Linked DNA regions of Drosophila melanogaster. The protein of the gene in region 1 interacts with the protein of each later gene in a pairwise test. Each region holds a gene or a part of one and is shown on either strand. Other genes may lie near its edges.

The links.
Region 2: the proteins of Acam (region 1) and CG17002 interact in a two-hybrid assay, tested with the Drosophila melanogaster proteins (one large-scale study listed by BioGRID).
Region 3: the proteins of Acam (region 1) and CG31249 interact in a two-hybrid assay, tested with the Drosophila melanogaster proteins (one large-scale study listed by BioGRID).
Region 4: the proteins of Acam (region 1) and CG2225 interact in a two-hybrid assay, tested with the Drosophila melanogaster proteins (one large-scale study listed by BioGRID).

What each region holds. Positions count from the first base shown.
Region 1 is NT_033777.3:25,810,214-25,814,016, forward strand, and holds Acam (androcam), read left to right. Parts: upstream 1-1,697; 5' UTR 1,698-1,775; coding exon of another isoform or gene 1,776-2,270; 5' UTR 2,271-2,430; coding exon 2,431-2,877; 3' UTR 2,878-2,921; downstream 2,922-3,803. Other genes in the region: CG5024 (uncharacterized protein), read left to right, coding at 992-1,489; CG17770 (uncharacterized protein), read left to right, coding at 1,776-2,270. UniProt on the Drosophila melanogaster protein: May be involved in calcium-mediated signal transduction.
Region 2 is NT_033778.4:6,984,110-6,989,725, reverse strand, and holds CG17002 (uncharacterized protein), read right to left. Parts: upstream 3,684-5,616; 5' UTR 3,382-3,683; coding exon 2,950-3,381; intron 2,893-2,949; coding exon 2,793-2,892; intron 2,089-2,792; coding exon 2,038-2,088; intron 1,946-2,037; coding exon 1,461-1,945; intron 1,156-1,460; coding exon 958-1,155; 3' UTR 804-957; downstream 1-803. Other genes in the region: vimar (visceral mesodermal armadillo-repeats), read left to right, coding at 4,308-4,314.
Region 3 is NT_033777.3:17,684,782-17,688,972, reverse strand, and holds CG31249 (uncharacterized protein), read left to right. Parts: upstream 1-1,901; 5' UTR 1,902-2,007; coding exon 2,008-2,077; intron 2,078-2,135; coding exon 2,136-2,462; intron 2,463-2,611; coding exon 2,612-2,967; 3' UTR 2,968-3,284; downstream 3,285-4,191. Other genes in the region: CG31360 (uncharacterized protein), read right to left, coding at 3,442-3,560, 3,623-3,800; CG31251 (uncharacterized protein), read left to right, coding at 4,128-4,191.
Region 4 is NT_033779.5:21,674,192-21,679,241, reverse strand, and holds the start of CG2225 (uncharacterized protein), read left to right. Parts: upstream 1-1,711; 5' UTR 1,712-1,743; exon of another isoform or gene 1,744-2,187; intron 2,188-3,014; exon of another isoform or gene 3,015-3,376; intron 3,377-5,050. Other genes in the region: eEF2 (eukaryotic translation elongation factor 2), read left to right, coding at 1-931.

The DNA.
Region 1 (3,803 bases):
CTCTCCTTTAACGCAAACAACTTTTATTTATTTAGTTAGTAGCCCTAATTAATATATTACCTGCTAAGTAATACTTGGAACTATTGTTTTCCATACAAATATATAATCCCGCATCTCTGGCCCGAAAAGTCCTCTCTAATCTATGCAGAGAAATGCTTGACAGTGCCTTGTTGTGTGGCTCAACTTTGGCCCCAATCCTAAATCCTTTGTGTCCTTCGTGGCCAGGATTTGCTTCTCATTACCAAGAAGCCCCCATTGTTCGCTCCACTGGGAGGAGCACGTGTGAGAAAGGTTGATGGCCAGGGACATGGGTTTGTGCAGTTTGGTTCTCGCCTTCTCCGCTCCCAAATTATGCAAATTGCTCGAAATTTTGCATTGGATAATTTCCCTATTTGCCCGTAATGCTCAATAAAAAAAAAAAAAATACAAACACAAAAAACATTTTATGACCCAAGAGACCAACGATGGCAGCAAATGGCTGAGCAGAAAAAATACTGAACAGTTGTATAAATGCACCAACAAAAATAAAAATAATATAAAAACAGAACAAACTGCGACGCATTTAATTAAAAATGTAATTACCCATGCTTTTCAACAGCCACATTGCTCGAAGCGGTAGCCAGAGGCTATGAAAACATTATTCGGAAAATTGTTGCAAATTTAATTGTTAAATCCTGCTATATTTTACTGCGGTGTTACTGCATCACGGAGCAGTTGTAGTTTTTTCCATTTCACAAATTTATCTTACTGAAAATGAGTTTAAGAACCATGTCAGAAAAGAGCGTGGGGCAACTAACAAAAAAAAAATTTTAAAAAACTAACTAGTAATCTTTTGTTGTCAATGCCTTGAATTTTCCACAATTTCAGTCTAAATGGAAAACTGTCAATGAAAAGACAATATTTAAACACAACTATTTTCGAAAAACTAAATTTTAAAATTCATCTTTTCGGGAAATCCAAATTTTAGCCCAAGGTATACTTACAATTTGCCATGGATGACTTTGATTTCAGTAGTCCACCTCCGGAGGTACGAACAGTTCATACCCACACGCTGAATGATGAACAGCTCAAGGATTGTGAGGCGGCCTTCGCCCTCTTCGACGACGATAATGCCAAGGTCATTCCGATCAAGTTATTGAGAGATTGCCTGCGAGCCGTGGCCCACAACCCGCCGGAAAACGAGATACAGGATTATATAACCGAAATTGATACGGATGGATCCGGCGAGCTTTATCTCAGTGATTTCCTATACATCATGTCGAAACGGTACGAGAATTTGACCGTCGAAGATGAAGTTATCCTCGCTTTCAAAGTCTTCGACAAAGATGGATCTGGCTTTATACACGAGAATGAGTTCCGTCAGATAATGACTGAATATGGCGATGAAATGGAAGAGGACGAGATCGAGGAAATGATACGTGATGCCGACGCCAACACGGAACTGAAAATCGACTACGTTCGCTTTGTGACCATGATGATGGAGACGTAACACTCTCTTTGAAAAATAAAAAACATAACCGATTGTAGATCTAATCAATAAATTTCAAAAGCATGGCCAATGGAATCGAAGATCTTGAAATATCGGATACCACCAGTTTGGACTATTCTTTAAAAAAAAAAAAAAGCCAATATACAATAGATAAAATGATAACAAGAGTAGGCTTTTCTTGTTATTAAATTATAAATATGAAGTTGTGAACTAAAGTTTGTCGAAAATTTGTAGTGAGTGTTCAGTGACCCCAAAATTTTCCCACCCCCAACCCCTTCCTTTGGCCATGGATTTCGAATTCCTTACTCCGCCGCCAGAGGAACGGACCATTCGCACCCACAATCTGACCGAAGAACAGGTCAAGGATTTGGAGATTGCCTTTTCCCTGTTTGACGACCAAGACACTAAGGTTATTCCTATAACAAATCTCAGGCAACTAATGCTGTCTGTGGCCCACTATCCCAGTGATATGGAATTGCAGGAAATTCAGGCCGAGATCGATGCTGATGGATCCGGTGAGTTATATCTCAGCGATTTCCTTCACATCATGTCTCAGAGGTACGCAAACATGTCTACCGAGGATGAAATTATAGCTGCATTCAGAGTCTTTGACAAAGAAGGAACCGGCTTAATATCTGAATCGGAATTTCGTCACATAATGCAGAACATGGGGGAGCAATTGACGGATGATGAGGTGGAGGAGATCATCCGTGATGCAAATTCTGATTTGGAAGGCAATATAGACTATGTGCGATTTGTCAGAATGATGTCCACTACATAAGGAAAAAGCAGGCTTTAGGGGTTGGGAACCCGACCTGTCAGTATCAGTATCATCAAAACAGTTTCGGCTCATTCCCTTTCGTAAATTCCAACAGTCTATAGCTCTGCAAGCATTTAAAAATATCTCGATAAATACCGAAAATCTTTGAAAATTTATCAAGATGTCCGAACTAACGGAGGAGCAGATTGCCGAGTTCAAGGATGCCTTTGTCCAGTTCGACAAGGAGGGAACCGGCAAGATCGCCACCCGTGAGCTGGGCACATTGATGCGCACCTTGGGCCAGAATCCAACGGAGGCCGAGTTGCAAGATTTGATAGCTGAGGCCGAGAACAACAACAATGGCCAACTGAACTTCACTGAGTTCTGCGGTATAATGGCCAAGCAAATGCGGGAAACTGACACTGAGGAGGAAATGCGTGAGGCATTCAAGATTTTTGATCGTGATGGCGATGGCTTTATATCACCAGCTGAGCTTCGCTTTGTGATGATCAATCTGGGCGAAAAGGTCACCGACGAGGAGATCGATGAGATGATTCGCGAGGCTGATTTTGATGGGGATGGCATGATCAACTACGAGGAATTCGTATGGATGATAAGCCAGAAGTAGTACAGCTACTTTAAATGAAATAAAAATATTTGGGGTCACTGCATAAAAAAAATCGTGTATTTCTCTTCAAAAAATACAATTTACACTTCTCTGCGGTCTAACTATTTTCGAACACTTTTTAATACGCCCCCAATTATTTCAATTATATTTTTGCGGTGTGCTAGTTTTTCCTTTGCCTAATTCGGAGACCGAGAATTTTTCAAGCATGTCCTGCTCTTAAAAATGTTTGATGAAGGCACCCCATTTCGGTAATTGTGGTTGGTTTAAGGAATTTTCGCCTCGCCTTCTTCAGGTGAAAACTTTCAGCATGAAACACTCGACGTGGTTTTAGTCCGCCTTTTCGTTTCCCTGGCAAGTGGTTTTTGCTTCCACATGCGGCACCTTTGTGGCCAGACGAACAATTTTCCTGTTGCTTAAATTCAATTTGCTTATGCATTAAAATTAAATTTTACTGTGGCCTCAGCGGGCCCGGCTCGTACTCCTTGCTGGAAGCAACCTCTTGGGGTCTTTGGGGCTTGTGTCTGACTTTATAAATATTTCGTGTGTGTTGTGTACGCGCATGTATGAATTTTCAATTTTTTGAACAAGTTTCGGTTTCAGTTCAGACATGTCAAAATGTCAACTTGCTTAATTGAGAGTCCGCAAAACATCGAGCATCGCATCGCATTGCATCGCATTGCATCGAATCGAATCGAATCGAGACCTTAACTTCAATGTGCATTCGCATGGAATAAGAACAAAAGCCCAAGCAGATTCCAATTTCAGATCTGACATCAATAAGCACTTACAGTGGCATAAATATTATATATACTCGAGAGCTGGCAAATATATATGTCTATATGCGGTTCAAACACCAGAACGACATCGGCACTTCGCCACCTCGCCGCATAGACGAGTTGGTTTTCAGCTTCAGTTTTCAGTTAGCA
Region 2 (5,616 bases), on another chromosome or scaffold:
CCCAAGTTGAGCTCAGACTTTATGTCCCTAAAGGATGCAAAAGGATAGACTTTGCTGTAAGAAACAATGCGTCGATGCTATATATCTGTGGTTATATCTATGGAACCACGGTTTTCGGGCTTCCATTCATATTTAATGACATTGGATACCATTTTGGCAGAACATTCAAGGGTTTTTTGAATGTTCATATATGTTTTTACTTCCTTTCTAAGCTTAATAATTAACATTCTTTTCTCCTGGGAGCAGTGCTGTCCTTTACCCACTAATATATAATTTTTTTCATTTACTCCCCTTTTAAATGTACGAATTAATCAAACTCACTTTTTAAAAATATTGATCATTTCCTGACTTTACGTTGGTCAAAACCAGACACTGCTATTCTTATGAACAGCCTAAAAGTTGTGATTTCGCTTAAGAAAGTAAATAAAAAAAGGATAACATGAAAAACTAACCGGATTTTCTTTTTTTCCCTATATACACATTCCATTTAACAAAAATAAGTGGAATAAAAAGTCAATTCCGAAAAGGGACATGGAAAAATACCTTTGTATTAATTAGTATTCCTCGCACTGCTATTTTTCTGAACACAGCTGTACATACCATTTTATATAATAGTCATTTTTTATATGTATACATGATCCAATTTCTATTGCCCAGAATTTCAAAAACTCTTTCGAGTTAGATCAATTTGCCTGTTGGTGATTAGAACTACGATACCTCAAAGTTATTATGGTATAACCACAGAACCACAGAAGCCCATTGATACCAAATATCAAATCAATATCAAATATCAGTATGGTATTGTCGATTGGAAAATAGGGACGCCATAGTTGTGTGCTTTATTTCGTTTATCCGACTTCACGTGGGAAGCGTAGTCAGTGTTGTAATGTCTATTTAAAATCGTAAGTATATCAGTTAGCGAGTTCCGTAGCGACAAAAGGGGTTAGGGGTTAGAGGCTAGTACAATCGCCGCGTGTAATGCATCTGCTGACCAGGAGGCGGCTGGGCGGAGCCGGATCCGGACGGTGCTCCCGGCTGGCCAGGCAGCATCGCCAGCTGTTGCCGAGCCAACTGCTGCTCGTGGGCGGATCCACCTCGTCCAGGGGCATAGCCCTGTGTGATGCTTCCCGCTGTTTTCGGATTCTGTGGAGGAAACTGGCCAGGCGTTAGTCAAGTGAATATTTAGTTCTTCCTTGTAAATGATATCAAACATGTTAATCAGTAGTTGGGAAGTTGGTTCTAATGCGTTTTCCTATGAAAACATGAAAACCTGCAACAATGAATTTGTTTTATAGAAAACAGCTCTTATTCAAGATGCTCAGGCTTTAAAAACCATTTTCGCAGAGCCTAATCGTTGAACTTCGATTTCGAAGATGTAAATCTAACTTGTTTGTTCTAAGTTGTAAATTCTAAGACACTGCCACGGCTAATTAACCACAAATGTTGAGAATGAGACCCACCTGGCTGCTGCTTATCTGCAGCACGTTGCTGTGCAATGAGAGTTCGTTGAGCAGCGGCTTGAAGATGACGCCCTCCGGCAGCAGGTGTGGCGGAGGCGGGACGTGGCTCGGCGGCTGGCCGTCGTGCTTCACCTCGATGTGGTAGCGGTCCGGTAGCTTCTCCATAGTCACGTGTGGCTGGGAGGCCTTTACCGAGAGGCTGCCGCCGGCTTGAGCCACCAGGTCTGCCTGCGAAATGGTCGGCTGGTCGAGGTTGATGTGAAGCACTTGCATGGGCTGCGACTGCGACGGTGCCTTGGGCGACTGCGAGTCGGGCGGCTTGCTGACCGTGGCGCTGGGCAGGTCCACGTGGTAGGCCTGGCGCAACGGAAGGTTGTAGTTGTAGATGGACTGCAAGCGGGCGTCCGCCTGGTGCTGTGTCGTCGGCGGAGGAGCGACCGTCTGGTAGAAGACCGTTCCCGTGCCCGGATACTGTGCCGCTGTTTCTGGAAGAGAGGAAAAGTGAGGTTTAATTGACGAATCTGGCGATCGTTCCGACGGAGGATCTCGGGCTTGGTATTGCAAGTGAGGTGCTTACTGTTCCATGATAATCTAGCATAGTCAGCGGCACGACGGTAGTCATCGTGTTCTGCGAATCGATCGTAAACAAATAACGAAATGAACATAAGTTGTGTGCCTGTGTTGTTAGAGGTTAGTGTGCGCAGTGAAATGGATTTCTCATGAACGGGACGGAGTGTTAGCGAGCAGTTAATCAAGAAGAACAGCGAAAGCTCCGCAGAACAGATCAATCGGTGATTGTATCGCACCTTTAGCCAATGCCAATTTGCAGTTGAATTTTAAAACTCGAGCTATCTGCTAGAAACCCTATATATATCGTTTCTACACTATATATCCTTCAAAATAATAGGGTAATTTTTGTGCACATTAAAACACATTAAACTAAACCATCCAATACAAAGCCTAAACAGCACGAAACTTTCTTTATATCGAATTGATTATTTACTTAACACTTAACCATGTTTTTGCAATCATTCCTAATTAGAAGTTCAATTGATATTAGTGCTAATATTTCATAGAGCTTAAAAAAGGGCTTGGCAATCAGAATGTAGAGATGATGACATCACAAAAATCACGTATATCTCTCGTCCAAATCAAGAACCATACATATGTGCTAACCAATTCAATGACTAATCAAATTATGAGCAGATCCCGCATTCGAGTTAACAAAATCCAACCGAAATTGCGTGCATGAGACTTTGGACTGCCTGCCTGAGGCAGCGTTCACTGTATCGGAGGCCCAGGGACCACATTGTCGACCTCTTCCTGGCTTACTCTGCTGGGCGTAGCTGGCGGCGCTCTTGTAGTAAGCCTGCTGCTGACTCGGCGGCGATGGACTCCTGCCACGTTTTCCTGGCTGTCCGCCGGACGGGAGCTGCGAGGAAAAAAGAGGACCATTAGAACCTGAATCCCACAATTGCGCAGTCGAGACCTTCTGCATCAGCGTATGGTGCTGGTGTTGGAGGCGCAGGGGCGGCAGGAAGACCGGGCTACTGGCCGCCGCCTGCTGGATGGCGAACAGTTCGTTCTCCTTGGCCAGCTTCTTGCGCGTTTCGTCCTCGTTGAGCACCTTCTTGAGTTGGACGGTCAGCTGATGCTTCTGGCTGTGCAGATCGGCCAGCTGCTCGTCCAGTCGGGTTATCTGGCCGCGTGTGTCATCCAGGGCCACCTGGTTCTGGCGCTCCACCTCCTCGCGCTCCCGTCGCAGCCGCTGCTCCTCGCACTGAGCCTCGAACTCCTCCTGGCGCCGCTGGCGGTCCGCCACGATGAAGCCCTTCAGTGCCCCGCGCAGCTTCTCCGCCCGCTCGGCCTTCGCCGCCTGGGCGGCCGCGTTGCTGTTGTTTACCGCTGATGCTGGCGGCATCTTTGTGCTCTGCTTAGTTATCTTGCCAATTTTATAAGCGTTCGTGGACGACCGGGCAATCGCGACTGTTTGACCGAACCGACCGAGAGGCTCCCCAAATGGAATGGCGTGCTGGTGGCGGTGGGCTGGAATCCGGGTGGACACCGCTACGGGAATCAATGGTTGGGCGTCTTGGGATCACTGCAAATGCTCGACGCCGGGCTGCACTTTATTTTCGTTCACTTTCAGCACGGTTTTTTGTGGTAAACAATTTGTTGAGTGAGTGGGATGTGCCGACCAGTGTTGCCACCAATCGATTAATGGGCAAAGCTAGCTAGAAAATAGCTACTTTCCGATTGTGGTGGCAAATCTTAAGTTAACGTTCGAACTAAATCACTTATAAAGAATTCGATTTTTTCTTTAAAGCTTATATTCCTAATATTACTAGTCACACCCCAGAATTTAATATAAAATACAAATAGTTTCAACACTGATCGATACTTATCGATAACTTTTTGGAAACAGATTATAGTTTTTGGAAAATCCAAGCATTAAAGTCTAGACATTCTAGAAATGTCTATCGATGTTAATAAAATGCGTAAGCATCGATATGGCATCTCTCATTGGAGGTATCGTGCAGCTCGAGCTCTGCGGTCACACTAGAATTGCAGTTGTTGGTGTGAACGTCTGAACGCGATTCGGAAAATACGGATTACACGGATAATACGAATTATACGGATATTGCGGAAGTTGAACGGAGACGCGACTGAAAGAAAGCCGTGAAATGTGTTCAGTTGCGCGCAGCAGTCATTAGCCTATCAGCAGTGTTTGTTACAAGCTAACAGTGATACAACGTGCCTGGAATCGCAACCAACGCAGAGCAAGAAAAGCAGAAAAGCATAAAAACGGAAGAAGCAGCAGCGGAATAATCAACAAAGGCGGCAAACATGGCGAGTGAGTAACATCGAGCATTTCTCTGCCTATGGAGCATCCCAAACGACATACAGCAGACCCCGGATTCCTTTTCCATAGCATAAACAAACGCAATTCATGCGAGTCATTGCAGCGGCCGTTTTATGGCTGCAGTGCAGCATTTACGAGCTGCGAAAACTTCCAAATCGCTGCCAGGTGTCGGAGGAAGTTGCTCCGAGCAGGGGCAGTGGGGTGGGGGCGGGCGATGCGGCTCCCTAGACAAGATGTGTGTGTTTGCCGGGGACATGTGAGAAAAATCAATACTTATGCTCCCCACTCCCCATCCCACTGCACAGTGGGCCGGTCGGATTAGGCAGATGCCGTGCTCCTGCTGCTGTGCGCACCCACTTATCGCGGCCAACAGGGTCAGCGCTTCCCAATCAGAAATCCCGCTCTTTTATCCTTTAATGGCCCCGGCAGTTCTGGCGGGAATTAAGTGCGGCTGAGACAGCGGCCACCACCGTTTTGCACGAACCCGCCACCCGAGCCGCCCACTCCACCGCAGCACAGGAGGAATAGGAATGGGAACTGGGAACAGCAGTGACGACGCATTAATAAATGAGAATATGCCTCCTGCGAGGTGCCAGGTTTACCGGCGTGTCGCAACACTCCCCGCAGTCCTCACAATTCGTTTTATCCCCACGGGGGGTGATATAGCAAACAAAACGATGAAGTCATGCACAGTGAGAAATCTATGGCAACTTTGTTGAATTGTTGATAAACATTACAATTAGGACAATCTTCACAGATTAAGCTTAAAAGGGCTTAAAATTCGATACTACTTTGCAGTCAAAGCGCAGTCATTGTCAAGATAAAGCTGTGACTAACTAAAAGAAACCCCTTTTTTTCTTGTGTTTCTCAGTGTAGTTGGATGTGTAACGTACGCACTGGATGTGTTATATTTGGGTCAGTCACCGATGAGAATTGTTAAACGTAAACAAGTCTCTAAACTTCTTAGTTTTCAAACGTGACTGCACCGAATCAACACATACATAAACACTGGCCACAGACTGTACTGTTTGTATACCCTTTCCCGAGGGGAACCTGTGCAGAACGACAACAAACAGCACTTGAACGCGCCGGCAATCCCGGCCTCGAAACTTCCCCTTTTTCAGGAGGGGTGCTGCATCCCAATCCCCACACCACTGTACACCTCACTTGTCTACAGAACCCACCAGCTGCGCCCAGCGTAGCGAGACCCATTTCCACACTGAAAACAATTCGTGGTTCTTGTTCATTTTAATTCATATGCAAGCACTGGGAAACTTGCGCTGAATATATGAT
Region 3 (4,191 bases), 8.1 Mb from region 1:
AACTGATCGAACTGAACGAACACCAAAGTTCACGCGGAAATATTTAAAAGCAACACGTATATAAGGCAGTTTATTGGATTCAATGTGGTCTAAATGTTGCAGAAGGACGAATCCTTAGAGATGACTAAAAACCATTGTACATACTTAACTATTATGTAAATTTCACTGTATTTTTGTTTTTACGCAATGTTACAAGGCACATGTAAGTGGCAGCACTGCATTTTGTATTATGTTTATGTGTATGATGTTGTATGATGTATTGATGGGCTGCGAAAATTCCAACTTCTTAGTTTTAATCGCATAACTCGGAGGCGAATGGAAATGAAATTAAGCGAGAGAAACAAGCAAACAAGCAAAAATGAAAAACCCTCAGATGAAGGCAAGCAAACAATTTAAATTGAAATCAAATTAGGTGATATAATATATAAAAATACATAACATATACATACATAATTAATATAAACGAAACATGAAAAATCGAAAAAATGAAACCCTAATGCTGTAATCTTATGTTAACTGTATTATTTGCTGGAAGTGCTGCTGCTTCGTTTTATTTTATATCGAACTTACTTAAGGCGTAAATGACAAGATAAATAATTAGGTTTTTATCTTAATCTTAATTTAAAATGCAAAACAAATAAAACCAAGAAAACAAAGCAAAACAAAACGAAACCATAAAATGCTATAAAACACAAAGCGAAGCAAATCGAACTAAAGCTGTAGAGAAGCACGCAAAAAGGACTAATAACCACACATCCACACCCACACCCAAAATGCTTGGCGTTAGGAAACCAATAAACAATTAATGCAAAACCATACATGGGTGGGTGCACCAATTTGTATACTAAACTTTCTCACACATAATTAACGTGCTACATAAGAGATCGAAAATGAAATGTCTCCAGATTCTGGCATGAGCAAGTCTAGAGGTCCTTCCGGTTTCCGGTGGCGATCCTCTGGATCCAGAGGAACTGCAAGATATTGGGAGATAATAGGAAACTGCTGCTGTTGATACGTGTATTCGTGTAGTTGTTTGCAAACAAATATTATAACTCAGCATCTCGATATATAACGTGTAGTTATTAGTCTATAATTTGCTAGGATGTAAATGTATGTCCCTCAAACTTAATTTAATTATTTAATTAATATACATACATATATGATATACAATACAGCCTTTGTACTTGTCGTTTCTTATCGCTGATAAGGGAAAAATATTTTTTGGCGGGGAAATACTTTTTAGAACTCATTTCGATTTTTTCAGTGCAAATCAATTGGTCAGATTGATGAATCCTATGGTAACGCATTCCCAAAATATTTCTTATTATATTATTATAAACTATATTGCTTCTGTTCAGCGTAGGACATTCACTGTTGAGCGAAAGATTATTATATAAATGTATATTCGAGATAATATGCAATTGAGCACCTAAATACCATGTCTAGGTTTTCAAAAATGTCTAGTAACAAGATCTTTTGTCTGTTATTAGGCTGTACTTTCAGCATTGAGGTCGATGTTACTCGATTGGGAATTTGTGCATTGTATTTACAATGTCAATTTGTTCAAATTTACAATTTCAAAAATCAATTTTAAAAGAACTTACATTAATATTAAGAATTCGCGTGTTCCGGGATAAATTTGACTTTTTTAATTAATTGACAATTTTAATCGGTCAATGAAGAGCTTTAAAATTGTATTAATAGTTCTTCAATTAATTGAATAATATGATGTGCAAAAAAATAATTATCGGAAAAAATACTTTTTGACAGTAAGTAGTTTCTTACAAAATATTTGATTTAAAAATTATATATCGATACTTTTTCGAGATTATTAAATTCGAACAGCTTTATCACAGCAAGTTGGCAGCCCAATTTCTACGTCGATAAGTCCTCTCGTTTAATGTTCCATCCCTTAAATTTGGGCGATAAGAATAAGCACAGCCGGCTGTAACATTTTTTGTAAATTAACAGAGCGAATCGATTTTTGTATAGTAATCCGTTGAAAGCATGCTGTCGCTCAAGATGAAACTCGAGGTACTGGGTCGTCCCGATGTTGACATCCCGGTGGTGATGAGCGGTAATTGTCTAGTTTTCCTGATGGGGCTATAAGTCATCCCATTCTTTTCGTTCCGCAGACCGCAAGGAATTCGCCAACACAGTCCTCTGGTTGGAGGACCAGAAGATCCGGCTTTACTCCATAGAGGATCGCTGTAAGCTGCGCACTGTCGACAACCCTGAGATCTGGAAGGAGGGTTACTTAAAGTACTGTGCCGATTTGAGCATGCCGCCCCTGGAGACGCGGCAGGAGCAGCTGGCCTGGATTGTCAGCTATGCTGTGCGCCTGGACTTCCTCGATGATCCTGATCAGTTTGCCTCGATTAACACCAAACAGGTGCCACCCCAAAGCAATGGCAAGCAGTCCCAACAAAGGGTCCAGGCTATTTTCGATGGAAATATTAATAGTATGGTCTGATTTTAACTAAATTTACCATTTAAGGAACTTTAAATTTATATATTATGGATTTTTTAAGAGGTTCCAAAAACCACTTTTATTATCTATAGATGATAATCAGGTAAAGTACAACAAGTATTAATTCTTTCTTCCCACCAGCTCAGGAAAAAGCGTTCGTGGATGGAGTCCGGCTGCTGGCCAGCAAACTGAATGTGCCGCACCACCCGAACCATCTGTTGCAGCTGGAGGCTATCGCTCGCGTGGTGCACGAACGCCTCTCGCCCGCCGCCAAGGATCGCAAGCCGGTAGTGGGTAAACCCTTCCCTTTTGACAAGGGAAACGACGTCGTCTCGTCCAACGACTCTGCCCTGGACCTGCCCATGCGCATACTACGTCTTCTCCAGATCCAGAGCCTACGCGAGCTGCAGACACACATCAATGAGACCATTGTGGCGGTGCAGAACATCACGGCCAATCCAAAGACTGATACCAAGCTGGGGAAAGTGGGATTCTAGACGATTAACAGTAAAGGAACGCAATCGACACAATATAACATAAAAGGACATAAAGAACATAAAAGTTTTAAAATTGCATCTATAAAATATCCTTTAAAGCCAAGCAACAACATTTAGCAGAAATCAATAGATAGATCAACAGCCAAGCTATGAACAAGCAAACACCTTTTTTGAAAGCTATAAAATAAGAATCCTGTTGATATTTTATAATATTATTATTAATACAAACATATGTTTATTTATGATCCTCTTTCAAAAGATGCAATATTGTGTATGCCTATGTAATTAATTTATTTAAAATAAATCATAAATTCATTAAAGCAAACAAGGTTTTGTTTTCAACGATTTTAAATAGAAAAAATTCTAAAAACAAGGTTACAGCTATATTATTGTAATGCCACATGGTCGTACAAAAGAAAACATTAACCTTTATATATTAAGTGACTCTACGATTATAATTAAAACGTCATTGAATTAACGTCTAGAAAAGAACTGATGATCAGTGCTAGTATTTTCCTGTTCTTTTGGCTTCTCGGCGGTTGCCTTCAGGAAATTCGCGTCTGCCAGGCGGGCCACGCCCAGAACTCCAACGGCTATGGCGACGAAGGAGAAAGGAGTAAACATAAGACCGGATTTAAGATCCCAAGTGGCTCACCTGCAGCCAAGCCTTTCATAGTGAAATTCTCCAGAGGTTTCGCTTGTCTTTTTTTCGACTGTGCCAATAGGAAGGCACCAATTCCCAGGAGTCCAAGGCCACTGACCAGACGGCAGGCCAAGCAGTCCACCTCGTTGGAAACGTTGTCCTTGTTCCAAAAAGAAAGTCTACCGATCATTTTTAAAATTATTTCAATAATAACAATTTGGGAATGGATTTGGAAAATAAGGCGACAACTATCGATATACCAAGTTTGTCGCAGGGCTGCCAACTTGATTGTGTTAACTAAACTAGGTTTTTTGTTAATTCGATCAACAAATGCTTTATTGACCTTATTTTCTAATAGAACTAGATTCCTATTAATATTATATATGTTGACCACACTCTAAAATCTTTAATATGTATCTATCTTTTTAATAGCTATCGCCGATTTAAATGCATTGTTATCGATAGACGTGAACATTAGATGTTAAGTTAAAAGCGGCCGGTTACTATTCTTACAAAAATGGACTTTCAGCGAAACGATGCTATGCTCATGGAAATTCTGCAGGATCGGAAAACTATTACAG
Region 4 (5,050 bases), on another chromosome or scaffold:
CGGTGAGCTGCATTTGGAGATCTGCCTTAAGGATCTAGAGGAAGACCACGCTTGTATCCCACTGAAGAAGTCTGATCCCGTCGTCTCCTACCGTGAGACTGTGTCGGAGGAGTCCGACCAGATGTGTCTGTCCAAGTCGCCCAACAAGCACAACCGTCTGCTGATGAAAGCCCTACCTATGCCAGACGGTCTTCCCGAGGACATTGATAACGGCGATGTGAGTGCCAAGGATGAGTTCAAGGCTCGTGCCCGTTATTTGTCTGAGAAGTACGACTACGATGTGACTGAGGCCCGTAAGATCTGGTGCTTCGGCCCCGACGGAACCGGTCCGAATTTCATCCTCGACTGTACCAAGTCCGTGCAGTACCTTAACGAAATCAAGGACTCTGTTGTCGCTGGATTCCAATGGGCCTCAAAGGAGGGTATTTTAGCCGACGAAAACTTGCGCGGTGTCCGCTTCAACATCTACGATGTGACACTTCACGCTGATGCCATCCATCGTGGTGGTGGCCAGATCATTCCAACCACTCGTCGTTGTCTGTACGCTGCCGCTATAACCGCCAAGCCGCGCCTGATGGAGCCTGTTTACCTGTGCGAGATCCAGTGCCCCGAGGTTGCTGTAGGAGGAATATACGGTGTGCTCAACAGGCGACGTGGCCATGTATTCGAGGAAAACCAGGTTGTGGGCACTCCCATGTTCGTTGTGAAGGCATACCTGCCCGTCAACGAGTCATTCGGTTTTACCGCCGATCTGCGCTCTAATACCGGAGGACAGGCCTTCCCTCAATGTGTCTTCGATCATTGGCAGGTGTTGCCTGGCGATCCGAGCGAGCCCTCAAGCAAGCCCTATGCCATCGTCCAGGATACTCGTAAGCGCAAGGGTCTTAAGGAAGGATTGCCCGATCTATCCCAGTACTTGGACAAGTTGTAAAGCACCACCACCCGATCCCCCACAACATCCAAGTGCAGCTGGCTGAGCGGAAAAGCATAGAAAAATATGGAGTGACCGAATTTAACATCTTTATTCGGCAAGGCACTTGAAACATCGCCTTTGGTCAATGTTTTAAAACAAATAAAAACAATAAAAATTTTGATGATTATGAATTGTATAACATTAAATCAAGAATAAATCAAGTAAATGATTTAATACTTATCTTTACATAAATCAGAGCGCCGCTATGTGACTGACACGAGAATTGATTTTGGTTTAATTTTGTTTGCGAAAAATTTACAAATTATGCGCTCTCTTGTGTCCTTGCCATACATTAAAGCGATTTGTCGGTGACGATACCCATATACACTGGAATACGTGAATAAAGTTAGACGCATATTTTAGTTTTTATTACTTAGTCTGGTCGTCCATTTGTGAAAATAATGCAGTCAGCCGTTCCTACCGCGCCGGTGTGGGTTGAAGTCCTTGCTAAGCAATATCGCCGTTTAAGTAAAATGAATATTAACTCGATATCCGACATGACCAACAAATTTTCAGAATGTCAAGTACTAGAAATTTAGGTTTTAAGTTTATTTCTGCACTGATCTATCTATTTATTTGCTCCATTTTTGCTGATAGAAACTCTTGTTGAAAGAAACACTTCTTTGTAAACAGTCAACGACGATTTATGCTGCGCGTGTCGAAAGATATCGATAAAATATTTTGGTACATTTCTGATATCCCTAGATTTGTGAACGTTTCTCTGTCATAAACAAAAGTTTGCTTTCGTGTTGTCGGAAAGTCGGTGATAAGTAGGTTCTCTGGTCTCTGGCATGGGCATTTTCATGTGTGTTTGAGATAAAAGCCCATTGCGAAATTAGAATATTCTCGGACATAACCGTTCAAAGCCGATGGTACCGTGCTTTAAGTGTCGCCGCGGCGTCTGCCATTCGTGGACCCCCTGCCCTCTTCGCTTTGAGTTTTCTATTATTAGCAGCTTTTCGCTTCGAAAGACTTCTGTTTGACCATTTTGTGAGCCGACAGCAGAAGCTTCCGAACAACTCCAGGCAGTCGAAAAAGTCGGTTCGCCTTGTCGGCAGTTAGTGCATGTGTCTGCATTTGAAAAAATCGATGCCAGACTGCAGAAACTTCATTGAGAACGAAAAGGAGTGAGAAGATGAAAGCCAACAGCAGTAAGTTTTACTGCTAGACAATGTGGCCCTCGATTTTGTGCGTATATGGATGTAACAGTTACTGTAAGCGTTAGACATTAACTGATAACACCGGAAATGAATTTTTCCCATATTAGGGTTTTTCCCATTATACACTATTGACGCAAATTGGTCGAGTATGATTTTTGAGGCAAGCTCAGTTGCTGTTGCAAATGGTTTTCAATTGACCAAAGACGAACAAACGTGTTTTTACATGTACATACATATGTATGTATACATGTAGCCAGCCGTACAAGGTGTGTGTGTGTGGGTGGAGGTTGACGAGAATGCTTTGTGAGAGCGCCTGACTGGGGGGGACCCAAACTCTTCGCCTAGACCCCAAAGTGTATAGAAAATATGAATGAAGATGAGGCAGAGTGCGAATAGTGAGCTTCTACACTCTTCTCTCCCGAGTAGATGTTGTCTCGTTCTCCTCGCAGCACTTCATTCTCAAAATCGTTCTCCGCGAAAAATCAATGCATAAAAACGGTGAACGGTGAACAGTTTTTAATTGCCCGGAGTTGCGCGTGTGTTTACCTTTTTTGGTGTAAATGCCATAAGGATTTTTGTGAAAGGATGAAAAATGTTTAAATGTGTGGCATACAATGACAATGTACTTATATATTCACACATTCATATGTGAAATAGCAGTGCTAAGAAATACAAAGGAATTTTTCCATGTCCCTTTTTGGAATCGACTTTTTATTCCACTTATTTTTGTAAAATGGAATGTGTAGATAGGAAAAAAGGAAATCCCGTTAGTTTTTCATGTTATCTTTATTTTATTTACATTCTTTAGCAAATTCACAACTTTTAGGCTGTTCATGAGAATAGCAGATTCTGGCTTTGTCCAACTTAAAGTCCCAAAATTATCAATATAAGTTCAAGCAAGTTCAATCCTTTTGCATCCTCTGGGGACATAAAGTCTGAGCAGCACTTTGGAATCATCGAAGTTACAATTCGGAGACGACTACTGAATCAAAATTTAAGTGCTAGGAGTCCACGAAAGGTTCTCCTACTTAGCCCAAGGCATAATAAGGAAAGGTTAAAGTTCGCTAAAACCCACCTATACTGGCCAGTCTCCAAATGGTGTAAGATCCTTTGGACTGATGGGTCAAAAATTGTGCTATTTGGTGGAACTGGTTCACTACAGTATATCAGACGACCTCCAAACACGGAGTACCACCCAAAACACCAAGCCAACACTTTCAATTATGGTGGACCTAAAATACTGGTATGGGTTTGATTTTCTTTACAATGGTATTAGTCCAAAACATATGATTTTTGGTATTATAGACCAAAAAGCATATGCAAATTTACTTAGTGATGTCTTACTGTCATAAACTGAATGGAATATGCCCTTAAAATGGACATTCCAACAGGATAATGATGCAAATCGGCTAAGAATTGGTTCGACCAAAATAGAATAAAGATAAGGCCGTGGCCAGCACCATCTTCCGATTTAAACCCGATCGAAAACCTGTGGGGGTACTTTAAACAATATGTGTCAATGAACTCCCCGACGTTTAAGGCTCAGCTTTGCCAAGTTGTGCAGGATGCATGGTAAAAAAGTTGCCAGGACCTGGTGCACTCCAAGCCGCGTAGGTGAAAGCCTTTGGTGGCTGGCAGATGCTATCCAACCAAGTATTAGACCCTAATTAACACATTAAAAAGAAAAACTAAGTTCGTTATAAGTCAAGTTGAACTTTGTTACTATTTTTTTAGAATTTCTGCCTATTATGTTGTTTTAATATATATTTCGAAACTATTAATGAAATAAAAGTGAAACATTGTTGAATTGTTTAAAATTAAATACCTAATGAAATTATAAAAAAAATGATCCCAAGCTCTGCTATTTTTATGAACACAGCTGTACGTCTAGTGTTAAAATTGCAAAATAATATAGTAGTACAATTCTGAATTTAAAACTAGATTGGGCGTAAAAAAATTTTATTTTTATACATACATGTATTTGTCGGACTAAGATATGTACAGCTGTGTTCAGAAAAATAGCAGTGCGAAGGAAACTAAGTAATACAAAGGTATTTTTCCATGTCCCTTTTCGGAATCGACTTTTTATTCCACTTATTTTTGTTAAATGGAATGTGTAGATAAGGAAAAAAAAGAAAATCCGGTTAGTTTTTCATGTTATCCTTCTTTTATTTGCATTCTTGAGCAAAATCGCAAGTTTTAGGCTGTTCATAGGAATAGCAGTGCCTGGTTTGAAATGATCATTATTTTCTAAAAAGTGAGTTTGGATAAGTTAATTTATATATTTAAAAGGGCAATAAATTTAAAAAAAAAATAAAAAAAATTATATTTTAGTGGATAGAGGACAGCACTGCTCCCAGCAGAAAATAATGTAAATTCATAAGCTAAGAAAGGAAGGAAAAACATAAAGGGACATTCAAAAAACCCTTGAATGTTTTCCAAAATGGTATCCAATGCCATTAAATATGAATGGAAGCCCGAAACCCGTGGTACCAAACAAAAAACCACAGATATAGAGGATCGACGCATAGTTCGTTAGAGCAACGCCTATCCTTTTGCATCCTCTAGGGACATAAAATCTGAGCTGAACTTGGGAATCAGTGACGTTACTATTCGGAGACGACTACTGAATCAAAATTTCAGTGCGAGGAGTCCACGAAAGGTTCCCCCACTTAGCCCAAGGCTTATTCAGGCAAGGTTCACCTTCGCTAAAACCTACCGAAACTGGCCAGTCTGCAAATGGCGTAATATCCTTTGGACTGATCGGTCAAAAATAGTGCTTTTTGGTGGAACTGGTTCACTACAGTATATCTGACGACCTCCAAACACCGAGTACCACCCAAAACACCCACTGAAGACTTTCAATCACGGTGGACCTAAAATCCTGGTATGGGCTTGTTTTTTTTTACAATGGTAT